3 linked regions of the Arabidopsis thaliana genome follow. The protein of the gene in region 1 interacts with the protein of each later gene in a pairwise test. Each region holds a gene or a part of one and is shown in the gene's direction. Other genes may lie near its edges.

Region 1 (4,059 bases):
TAATTTGGAAATACATTTGTCTAACATTAAAATAATTTATACCAATAAGTTTATACTTAGTTACTTGCTAAATCAAATAAAGTGATGATTAGTGATTACATATGCCTATGATTACAAACAAGTGTAACTATGATTTATGCTTCGAACCCAATCATTTTGAGACGTTAGAAAGGGGTAATTTGGGGTCTTCAAACTTCCTTCTTGAATTTGTCTATTTTATACTCAAGTCCTCGGATGGGCTGTTCTGAAATCACTATAGTTGCATGTGTGCAATAACCCGGCCCATAAAAATTAATGCCAATTGTATTATTCCATTAGCCCATTAAGTCATCAATCATTACCACTAAATCTGCTATAAGATTAGCTTCTCTACCTCTAAAGTCTAACCAAAAAGAAAGTCGAAGATATCTTCATCGTTTGCATGTAATCTCCTTTACATGACCATGAAGTCCTTCTACCCATTATGTTTTGGGATTGCATTAATTAAGAACAGAATAGCACTCTCCCCAAAAGAATTCTTTGGAGCCGCAATTATTTAAGCAAAACATTGTCCGTGGATGATTCTTTACGAACGGGCCGTGATAGTTGTGCCAAGGAACATCTCTGTGGGAGAATTCAAAGCTAGTAGGATTCAAGCTCAAATGGACTTATTAAGCTAGGTAGAAATAATAGAAAGATTGAAATGAAATCGCTTATAAAAACTTTATTATGATGCAATTAATAGAAAAGAAAAAAGACTTTAACTTGTCAACAAGAATACAATGATTCAAAATTGATATTTTTATAAGGGGTTTGTGCAAAAAAAAATCATAATTAAGTCGCTAATTTTTTCAACTTTACCATTAATCTCTACAAAATACATAATAATCCTATAAAATACAAAATAAGACGCAATATAGCCCTATACATATATTGTAAATGTTTCTATGATCACATACATTTGCTTTTTAAAATTGTGAAAGTAGAGTTGGACTCCTCGTCTCGAAGATTTTAATTTGATATATTATTTATCAAAATTTTAAAAATTTAACTATAACAAAAAAATGAAGCTATATTGCATATTATTTTTGATTTCATACAATTATTTTGCATTTTTTTAGAGATAGATGATAAATTTGTAAAAATTGACGTCTTTGAAAGTTATTTTTGCACAAAATTCCTTTTATAAAGAAAAAGAAAAAAATTTGTTTTGAGACAACTCTTAAGATTACCTTACAATACATTGATATTTAAAAACAAATTTATATGAATCTCTAGTAGCTATCACCCTAGTTACATTGGCTAATGGATTTCTCATAATAGTTTTGGATCCTCTAATAATCTCTAGTTTTGGATCCTCTAATAATCTCTAGTATATGAAGGACGGAATTTCGATCATTGCTCTCAACTTGTTCATCAAAATCTAGCAAAATTGACATTTTCCGTCGAATATCACCCATATAAACTTAACCATAGTGGAAACCTAAAAATTCACCCCCAACTTTTACAAGAAAGTGATCTTTCTCATTCCTTCATTTGAAAGGTTTGACCTTAACGTTTTTGTTGTAGTCGAAGGAGTATCTTTCACAACATTGCTGATCTTAGAACAAATGTAACCCATTATTACCATAAGACTTATTTTTTCTTTTTCAGTTTTGACTTGTGCCTTTATGTTTAAGACACTAGTAGCCACATTTATTACGCTTTTTCACCGCAAAATTTAACACGCACTCTCTTTGTCGATCCCACAAACTCCATCTACCTAACCATGGTTAAAAATCATCAAACCTTGGTTCCCTTGATTAAAATATCCCTAAATCCAAGTCTCTTTATTATTTCATTTAAAATCATAAATTTAGTTTAATACAATTGTCCTTTTTCAAAATATTATTTCTTTATTTGCTTCAGCAACAGTCGTCATAGTCATCATATCATTTTCTTCTTTTCCTCCTCTAAACGAATATTACCAATAAAAAATCAAGTGGAAAATATGTAATATTAAAAAATCTCCAACAGCTTAAGAAGTTAGAACCTTTTTACTTATCTTTATTTCTTCTTCTTCTTCATTTTTCTATTCACATTCTCTGAAACTCATACCATATTTTCAAAGCTCTTAACCCAAAAACCCTAAGTCTTTTTTTTCTTCAAATTATTGGTTATATTAATGTTTTAAGCTATGATGGATATGACTCCTACAATAACAACAACAACAACACCAACTCCTAAATCACCCGAACCCGAATCCGAAACTCCGACCCGGATCCAACCGGCGAAACCCATTTCCTTTAGCAACGGCATCATCAAACGCCACCACCACCACCACCATCCTCTCCTCTTTACTTACAAAGAATGTCTCAAAAACCACGCGGCGGCTTTAGGTGGTCACGCTCTCGACGGTTGCGGCGAATTCATGCCGTCTCCGTCGTCAATCTCCTCCGATCCAACTTCTCTCAAATGTGCTGCTTGTGGCTGCCACCGTAATTTCCACCGCCGTGATCCAGATAACAACAACGACTCTTCCCAAATCCCTCCTCCTCCTTCCACCGCCGTAGAGTATCAACCTCACCACCGTCATCATCCACCACCACCACCACCTCCTCCACCACCACGTAGTCCTAACTCAGCTTCTCCTCCACCAATCTCTTCCTCTTACATGCTCTTATCTCTCTCCGGTACTAATAACAACAACAACAACTTAGCTTCTTTCTCCGATCTTAACTTCTCCGCCGGAAACAACCACCACCACCACCACCAACATACTCTTCACGGATCTCGTAAAAGATTCCGAACAAAATTCAGCCAGTTTCAGAAAGAGAAGATGCATGAATTCGCCGAACGTGTTGGTTGGAAGATGCAAAAACGTGACGAAGACGATGTTCGTGATTTTTGCCGGCAGATCGGAGTTGATAAAAGTGTTCTCAAAGTTTGGATGCATAACAACAAAAACACCTTTAACCGCCGTGATATCGCCGGAAACGAGATCCGGCAAATCGATAACGGCGGAGGAAACCACACTCCGATTCTCGCCGGCGAGATTAATAACCATAACAATGGACACCACGGTGTCGGAGGAGGAGGAGAGCTTCACCAGAGTGTTAGTAGCGGCGGTGGTGGCGGAGGATTTGATAGTGATAGCGGCGGAGCTAACGGTGGTAACGTTAACGGATCATCGTCGTCGTGAAGTTAAAGATGAGAGTGTCAGGTTAATAAGAAGCTTAGAGTAAGCTTATTCGTATTATCATCGTTAATAACTTTCTATTAAATATTAATTAAGATCTTTAGCTTTGTTTGTTTTTGCATTATTATTAGTTTTGATTTAATGTTCTTTACCACGTCGGTGTCTCGCTCGATGAGGAATAATACCATAACAATGTTCGAATTATATCATTTGTTGTAAACATTTCTATTAATGAACCCTGAAATGTGACTAAGTACTCCAATAAATGGTACACTTTTGATGTGGTAATCTTGTTTCGGATGAAGAAACAAAAAGATTAATAAACGAGTGAAACATGATTAGTTACTATAAATATTCATTTGGTTTCTTATCTTTTAAAGTACTCTTCTTAATTTTATTTGCAACCAAACTAGATGTAGTAGGTGTACTTTTTTTCTTTCTTAGATCCTCTTAATTTTATTTTATTTTTTTATTCTATATCAAATGATTAGCCATCATTAGTATATTAGTAGCATTGTTGTTAACACCCAGTGTTTTCACGTCCGACCCGGACCGTCCGGTCCGACCGGTTGAACCGTGACCCGAACACTTTTCCGGTTTGGGTTTAGTATTAAAATCCAACAAGTTCAAAACCGAAAAAACCCACAAAAACTCATCATTAACCCGTGACCCGATGAACCAGTTGAACTGGCCGGATGTGGGTTTTAAAAAATTCTCTTGATTTTGGAATAAAATATGAGATTTTAGACTTTATTCAATCAATTTTTAGATATTTTTCAGTTCTTAAACCCATTTGATGTTTAAGATTTTGATGAAGACTTCACAATGCCGCCTTAAAAAATGAATCGAATGGTGAGTGAGATATCCGATATTAGTTGTGTGAATTCACGATGTTTTATTAG
Region 2 (4,059 bases), on another chromosome or scaffold:
TCCTTGTTCCTTCCTCTCCTATTTATCTGAAGGACGAAGTCCCCACGCTGCACATAACCGGGGCACTTAACGTATAGATCATAAACAAAGAAGAAGAAAAAAAATAAGAAAAGAAGAAGAAGATGTCGTGGCAAACTTACGTTGATGAGCATTTGATGTGTGATGTTGGCGATGGTCAAGGACACCACCTTACTGCTGCCGCTATCGTTGGTCATGACGGTAGCGTTTGGGCTCAGAGCGCCAACTTCCCTCAGGTATTTGATTTCATTGCGTCTGATCTCAATGTGATTTAGATCCTGATAGTGTTGCTATCCGATATGATATGTGTTTTTACAATGTGATTTAGATCATGCATCATGTTTTGATTAGATTCTATCAATGTTTGTCATGGGATATATATATAGTGTATTTTGTGTGTGTGTGTTTCTTTTTATATGTTTTGCATAGATTTGAAAACAAATGATGCATGTTGTCTCATGGTAATCGACTAATCGTGATTTGGTCTTTCATATAGTTCAAGGGACAGGAGTTCAGTGATATTATGAAAGATTTCGACGAACCGGGTCACTTGGCACCCACGGGATTATTCATGGCAGGAGCAAAGTACATGGTGATCCAAGGTGAGCCCGGGGCTGTAATCCGTGGCAAGAAGGTAACCTAATCAGTAGCTTCATGATCAGATATGCAAATACCATGTTGAAGAGGGTTCTAATTCAATATATGCTTCTTTCAATTAGGGAGCAGGAGGCATAACGATAAAGAAAACAGGACAGTCATGTGTGTTTGGGATCTATGAAGAGCCAGTGACACCAGGACAGTGCAACATGGTCGTCGAGAGGTTGGGTGATTACCTCCTCGAACAGGGTCTCTAGAATCTTCTTACAATGTTCCACCACCTACATTTTTTTATAAGGCCATTGTTTCTCCTATTTTTTTCCTTTGGGTGATTTGCATCTCTTTCTCTAATTGATATTATAAGTTTTGGGCTAATGGACCTTCCTGGTTTCTCCCCATAGCAAACTTTTAAGAAAGCTGAAGCCTAAAAGGCTTTTACTCTCTTTGCCTTGGTTTCTTATTTATATGCATGTTTTAGTTGTTTTCTCTTTGCTTTTTTGTCAATTGCATTCTGTCTACTACACTAAATATTAACGTATTGATTGAGAAAATTGCATTATCATAATCTATAGAAAATTGTATGTAGTGTAGTAGAGACATTAATCTCACAATACTAAAAACACTTTCAAAATTTACACGAGCATTTAACACATACATCAACACTCATTATTTACAACAGAAGAAAAAACTGATACGCAACGCAATCTTTCCTAGTGATTTCATTCGTAAGAAAGAAAAAATGAACATGAGAAAGAAAAATGGCAACAGGCAGAATTCATTCATCAACTTTAATCTTTAATAGGAAAGTAATAATAGTACAATTATGTCGGAAAATCATTCCCATCCCATCTGTCTTTATTATGTGCTAATCTAACAGCTCATCGAGAAATCGAATCTCAGTCTTTTTTCCCTATTATTACATTATCACTTAGATATAAGGAAATTTTTGTTATCTCACAATATTCACTTTGAATCAATACGATGCACATATAACAAATTAACAATAGCAAGTGATTGTTTCTCTTCAATAACTCAAAAACATTTTTTTTTTTTTTGGAATAGAAAAAGGTTTATTAACCATCTTTCTAAATTTTGGGTAATTAAGAAACATTTATTGACAATGACATTAGGAAAAGAGAACATTAATTGTAAAGGGTGGACCTAAATAATTGGAATATTTTGGTGTATGGCACACAATGCAAGAGCATATCCACCCTGTAAACAAATTATGGCCATACTTCGATCTCTTTTCTTTGATTTTGGAAATTAAATTCTCTAGTATTGTTTTTTTTAGAAAAGAAAAAAAAACTTTTGTATTGTTTATTTATGTAAACTTCATTTGTTCCAATAAAATCTAAAACGTTTTCACATTTGGTTTGACAATTTTATTTACACAAATTTTCAATATACTTTTAGCGTTAGATCAAATTATACCATGCAAGAATTATATGCATTTTCTATATGATCTTGTTTAAAAATAAAAACTGTAGAAATAATGTAAAACCCGAGAAATGAAATTGTTAATAGATTAAAAAAATCATTTCTTTTAACCGGATGCAAATTTTAATCATTTTAAAAATATTTTCTTTTGATTATCATTTTAAAATTATTTATCGACTTTCACACAAAACATTTTGAATTTCATTTGTATCTACTTTTTTTTTTTTTTTGGTATTTCTTTTAGCTGTCTTTATCAAATTCAGTAAATAAATAAAATATGTATTTTAATGGAATTTTTTGCAGTAGAAATTAAAAAAGAGTTTTTTTTTATTGGAAGGCTAAATCGTGTTATTAATAATTTAAGCTCAAAGGTTGTCCAAGTCTACAAACCAAAAGCACGCTACAGAAGAAGAGGAAGAAGAAGAAGAAGCAGAGACAACAAGAAGAAGAAGAAACAGTCTCATCTCGCCGGAGAAGAAGAAAGATGTCGTGGCAATCATACGTCGATGACCATCTCATGTGCGAGGTCGAAGGCAACCACCTCACACACGCCGCCATCTTCGGCCAAGACGGCAGTGTCTGGGCTCAGAGCTCAGCTTTCCCTCAGGTTTTTCTTCCTTCTTCTTCGCGTTTCTTCCGATCCTCTGTCTCAAATAAGTTCATCGATCTGATTCAATCGTCTGATTTAGGTTTATTCCTTGTGATCCGATCTGAGGAAACTTGGATCTGGTTTTGATTTGCTAGCTTCTGACTTGTTCTCTCTGACAATCTGATTTTCTCAGTGATTGATTGGAGTTTGATTCTGAGATTTTCATGGTTTCAGTAGTCAAATCTTGTCTATAGGTGTTTTGCTTGGCACAGAATCTTATCTCCTTTCAATTCATCAAATGATAAAACTTTTCACCAAATTCTTCAAAATTTGGTATTTTACTTGAATTTGAGATCTTAGGGTCATTGCATATGAATTGTCACCTCTGCTCAGTATTGTATAAACCATGTAAAGGATCTGTTGTATTGGTAGTAGTATCATTGCTCAGTCGGTTGAAGCTAATTGCCTACTTTGTTGTTCTTGTTCATGTATTTAGTTGAAGCCTGCAGAGATAGCAGGAATCAACAAAGACTTTGAAGAAGCCGGACATCTTGCCCCAACCGGGCTATTCCTTGGCGGTGAGAAGTACATGGTTGTCCAAGGTGAGGCTGGAGCCGTCATCCGAGGGAAAAAGGTAACATTTTTCATTCGAGAAGACTCTTTTTTTGTGGTTTTGATTGAGATAATGAATCAAAGGATCAGTCTTTTAGATCAGCAAGTTAAAGTCCATGCTTACTTCTTGCAGGGACCTGGTGGAGTCACTATCAAGAAGACTACTCAAGCTCTAGTCTTTGGTATCTATGATGAACCGATGACCGGAGGGCAATGCAACTTGGTCGTGGAGAGGCTCGGCGATTACCTTATCGAGTCTGGTCTCTAAGTTCACTCAAAGTGCTTCAAACAAATTTCATTTTTCGGGTTCTTTCTTCACTAGAGAAGCACCCTTCTGCCATGTATTGTGATTTGATTGTTGTTGTGCATCAAACAAAGTTATTATACTCTTAAAAAGAACAAAGAAACAATCATATTTGTTATGGTTTTGATCCTCTCCTATGATGGCTCTTATGTTTTTCTCTTGTACTGTATTTCGTAATGTATAATTACGCTTTGGAATAAAAATTTGAGTTTGTGATCATTTGTTCTCGATCAGCTCATAAAAATTTTCTAGGTTCAGTCACAAATACATCACCAAGCTTGACATTTCGGTTACGTGGTGAAAGAAATTACCAAGTTCAACAGTTGGGCTAAATTCTAGTTTAAGTTCGCTCACTACTCAAAACTTCATACAAAAGAAGGCGACAGTGCATTCATGTACACACTTGTCACCAAATACTCGAACAAACTACAAAACACGGCAACAAAACAGAGACTGCAACCACCATTTGTCTGAATGCTTCATTGGTTGACGAAGGCGA
Region 3 (4,059 bases), 8.0 Mb from region 1:
ACTCAAAAATATATCCCGTGCTTAGGCCGGATTCGCGGGTGACGATGCACCAAGAGCGGTTTTTCCGAGCATTGTAGGCCGTCCTCGCCACACGGGTGTGATGGTAGGGATGGGACAAAAGGATGCTTATGTTGGAGACGAGGCTCAATCAAAACGTGGTATCTTGACTCTGAAGTACCCAATTGAGCATGGAATTGTTAATAATTGGGATGACATGGAGAAGATTTGGCATCACACTTTCTACAATGAGCTTCGTGTTGCCCCTGAAGAACATCCGGTTCTCTTGACCGAAGCTCCTCTCAATCCGAAAGCTAACCGTGAGAAGATGACTCAGATCATGTTTGAGACATTCAATACTCCTGCTATGTATGTTGCCATTCAAGCTGTTCTCTCACTCTATGCCAGTGGCCGTACAACTGGTCAGTAACACACTTATATTTGTGTTGATCCAATCTATAACCAGTTTTTTTTCATGCTTGATTTTAAATAATATGAACTATTTTAAGGACTATTTGGTTATGCTTTTATGGACAACCCTAATTGGTTCTTTTGCAAATTATTGATTAGGTATTGTTTTGGACTCTGGAGATGGTGTGAGCCACACGGTACCAATCTACGAGGGTTACGCTCTCCCACACGCAATCCTACGTCTTGACCTAGCAGGTCGTGACCTCACGGACCACCTCATGAAAATCCTCACAGAGCGTGGATACTCCTTCACCACAACTGCTGAACGTGAAATTGTTAGAGACATGAAAGAGAAGCTCTCTTACATTGCTCTAGACTTCGAGCAAGAGCTAGAGACTTCCAAAACAAGCTCGTCCGTTGAGAAAAGCTTCGAGCTTCCTGATGGACAAGTGATAACCATTGGAGCAGAGAGGTTCCGGTGTCCGGAAGTTCTGTTCCAGCCGTCAATGATCGGAATGGAAAATCCAGGAATCCATGAAACCACATATAACTCTATCATGAAATGTGATGTGGATATTAGGAAAGACTTGTATGGTAACATTGTGCTAAGTGGTGGAACCACAATGTTTGGAGGGATTGGTGATAGAATGAGCAAAGAGATTACGGCTTTGGCTCCAAGTAGTATGAAGATTAAGGTCGTGGCTCCACCGGAGAGGAAGTACAGTGTATGGATCGGTGGCTCTATATTGGCTTCACTCAGCACTTTCCAGCAGGTGAACACATTAATATACATTTTTATTATTATTTGATCATGTATAATATAACATTCATAAGTTTGTTTTGATATAAATATTGGTATGTGTTTGAAAACTTGACAGATGTGGATTGCGAAAGCAGAGTACGATGAATCTGGACCCTCAATAGTGCATAGGAAATGCTTCTAATCACAGTTCCTAAGATCACCAAACGAAGACGGAAGTAAAAGTAAAAGACAGAAGGTTAAAAACATTGAGATTACTACCAAATGCCACATTTTTCCATTATATTTTCTAATCTCTCTTTTATCCTTTTTTTTTTGAATAGCCTCTCTATGTTAATTTTTCAACTAAGCATACTTTTCTTTAAACAATTTCCACTCCCAATGTACTATATATAAGCGACTAATTTCAATTATTATATTTTCTATTTTAAACTTAATTTATTTGTTACTCAAAAGAGATTTTGTGATGGTTAAACAATTGTGACTAATATACTTCAAAGACATCCGTATCAAACACAAAACAAGCTCCATAATGTTGATCTAGTACAAACAATTGTGACATATAAATGCATATTGTCGAAACTCACTAAATCTTAGATTACTCGGTTAAATGGATGTGGTCTAATAAGTGTCAATAAACACAACACAAAATGTTAAACTGATGGATTAGTGATGAGAAGATGAGTTTAAATGTTTCATTTAGTAATAAAACGTGTTTATTATGTTTGTTGGTAAAGAAAAGAAGAAACGAATTGTTGATGGTTAACTAAATTTTAATTTCTTATTCGATCTCGGTTTAACCGAACCGAATCGTAAACCCAGAAACAGAAGCTGCGACGGAGAATCCATTTCTCGAGATCGTCGCCGTTAAAATCTGCGATCTCATTGCTCATTGGTGAAGACAAATCCCTAATTCGTATGTCAGATTCTGTGGCCGGCGATTTCCCTCCCGATCCACTTCTCGCCTCCGGAGCCTTCATCTCCTCCGCCGGTGACGGAACCCTAGACAGTAGTGCGAAACGACGACCGATTCAGGGAGGAATCGGAATTTCTGGTTCGGGAGAGAGCGTACGCATCGGGATGGCTAACGGCACTGATCAGGTGAATCATCAGACGGAATCGAAGTCGCGGAAGCGTGCGGCGCCTGGAGATAATTGGTTGCCTCCTGGTTGGAGAGTTGAAGATAAGATTCGAACTTCCGGTGCCACAGCTGGTTCGGTGGATAAGGTAAAGAATCTCAGCTTGACTCTGCTTTTCTCTATGAAGTTTTGAGCTGCGTTGTTGCTTGAAGACTACAAATTGAGGATTCTTTGATTGCTGTTGTTTTGTTCTCTTTGGTTTAAAAATCTTGCCTTTAAAGTAGTGACAAGTGTAATGATGTAGTAAAATGATGTGGTTGGTTCTGCTTAAGCATTAATGAGTTTGTTTAGATTATGTTAATGGTGTATTGGGACTTGAATCATACACTTTATCAGTGTGATTAGTGTTACTTTGATTTATCAGGTGGATTTAGATGGTTTGGTTTGGTATATATTGTGATTGAAGAGATGAAGTTTTGGTGTTGTTATACTCGATGCTAATATGGGTGTAGATATTGATGTGTAGACTTGTGACATTTTCTTATCTGGTTTTGCAGTACTATTACGAACCAAATACAGGACGTAAGTTTCGGTCCAGGACTGAGGTGCTGTACTACTTGGAACATGGAACTTCTAAAAGAGGCACCAAGAAAGCTGAGAATACATATTTCAATCCAGACGTGAGTTTACATGCTTAAAGATTAAACCTTTCACCCTGGTTTCAAACCTGTGATGTGTATTGAATTTTGCATTTGCAGCATTTTGAAGGCCAAGGAAGCAATAGAGTCACCAGAACCGCTACAGTGCCTCCACCTCCGCCACCGCCATTGGACTTTGATTTTAAGAATCCACCAGACAAGGTAAGCTGGTCTATGGCAAACGCAGGAGAAGAAGGTTGGATACCTAATATTGGGGACGTCAAGGTTCAAGACTCAGTGAGACGAGATTGGAGCACTGCGTTTACCTTTATCACAAGCCGAAACCCTAGTAAAGTGTCGGCTTGAAGACTATGATGACCTGGTGGCGATTTTTGGGTTGTTGCATCTATGGTAAGATACACAGATATGTTAGGGTTACTTAATTGGATAATTCTTGTTTAGTCTTCATTCATCAATCATCAAGTTATGTGTACTATAATTTTTGTAGCGGTTTTTGGAAGAATATGATAAGGGGATATGCATCTTTGTGTTTGCTTTTGGAACGTGATAACCATTCGACTTTTGACTGATGAAATTGAAGACACTGTCGTAGTAACAAAGCTATTCTTCTTAGACATTTTGATACTGAACTATTCTGTGTTCCAAAGTCTTTTACTTTGTGTTTAGGAAAAGATCTTGTTCTTTGTGAAACCAGTGTCGTAATTCAAGAACTAATGCTTGACATGTCTCACCTGCTCAGGTTATCTAAATCTAATGGATAAGAAGAAACATCAACAATACTGCACTGATACAAGACAAGAAGCGTCTGTAGTCCAACGGTTAGGATAATTGCCTTCCAAGCAATAGACCCGGGTTCGACTCCCGGCAGACGCAATTATATTTTTCCCAAACATAATTTTAGATTTTGTTAACCAAACAATTTGTGGGGTTCGAATGTAACTGGTTGTAGCACATTTAATATCTGCAATAAATTATCAAAAAGGCCATTGGAACTCTCCCAACCCATCGTCTAATTTAGTAATTTTTGGTCTTGTAACCTTCTAGGTGTACCAGAGGCTTCCTTATTAGTCTTGTATCCCAAGCTTTTGAAAAAAAGTGAAACGAAAAGGTTTTAAGTTTTGTTGGCTTTTGACTATCATTTCCCCTCTCTGTT

What was found.
Region 2: the proteins of HB23 (region 1) and PFN2 interact in a two-hybrid assay, tested with the Arabidopsis thaliana proteins (one large-scale study listed by BioGRID).
Region 3: the proteins of HB23 (region 1) and MBD6 interact in a two-hybrid assay, tested with the Arabidopsis thaliana proteins (one large-scale study listed by BioGRID).

What each region holds. Positions count from the first base shown.
Region 1 is NC_003076.8:15,909,388-15,913,446, forward strand, and holds HB23 (homeobox protein 23), read left to right. Parts: upstream 1-1,962; 5' UTR 1,963-2,155; coding exon 2,156-3,160; 3' UTR 3,161-3,473; downstream 3,474-4,059. UniProt on the Arabidopsis thaliana protein: Putative transcription factor. Probably involved in establishing polarity during leaf development through the gibberellic acid (GA) signaling pathway.
Region 2 is NC_003075.7:14,447,596-14,451,654, forward strand, and holds PFN2 (profilin 2), read left to right. Parts: upstream 1-2,292; 5' UTR 2,293-2,539; coding exon 2,540-2,662; intron 2,663-3,140; coding exon 3,141-3,278; intron 3,279-3,389; coding exon 3,390-3,524; 3' UTR 3,525-3,799; downstream 3,800-4,059. Other genes in the region: PRF4 (profilin 4), read left to right, coding at 123-254, 515-652, 738-872; AT4G29360 (O-Glycosyl hydrolases family 17 protein), read right to left, coding at 3,967-4,059. UniProt on the Arabidopsis thaliana protein: Binds to actin monomers and regulates the organization of the actin cytoskeleton. At high concentrations, profilin prevents the polymerization of actin, whereas it enhances it at low concentrations.
Region 3 is NC_003076.8:23,950,235-23,954,293, forward strand, and holds MBD6 (methyl-CPG-binding domain 6), read left to right. Parts: upstream 1-1,897; 5' UTR 1,898-2,086; coding exon 2,087-2,395; intron 2,396-2,804; coding exon 2,805-2,927; intron 2,928-3,005; coding exon 3,006-3,251; 3' UTR 3,252-3,473; downstream 3,474-4,059. Other genes in the region: ACT4 (actin 4), read left to right, coding at 26-419, 568-1,181, 1,287-1,352. UniProt on the Arabidopsis thaliana protein: Transcriptional regulator that binds CpG, CpNpN and CpNpG (N is A, T, or C) islands in promoters regardless the DNA methylation status. Plays probably a role in gene silencing. May associate with histone deacetylase proteins (HDAC).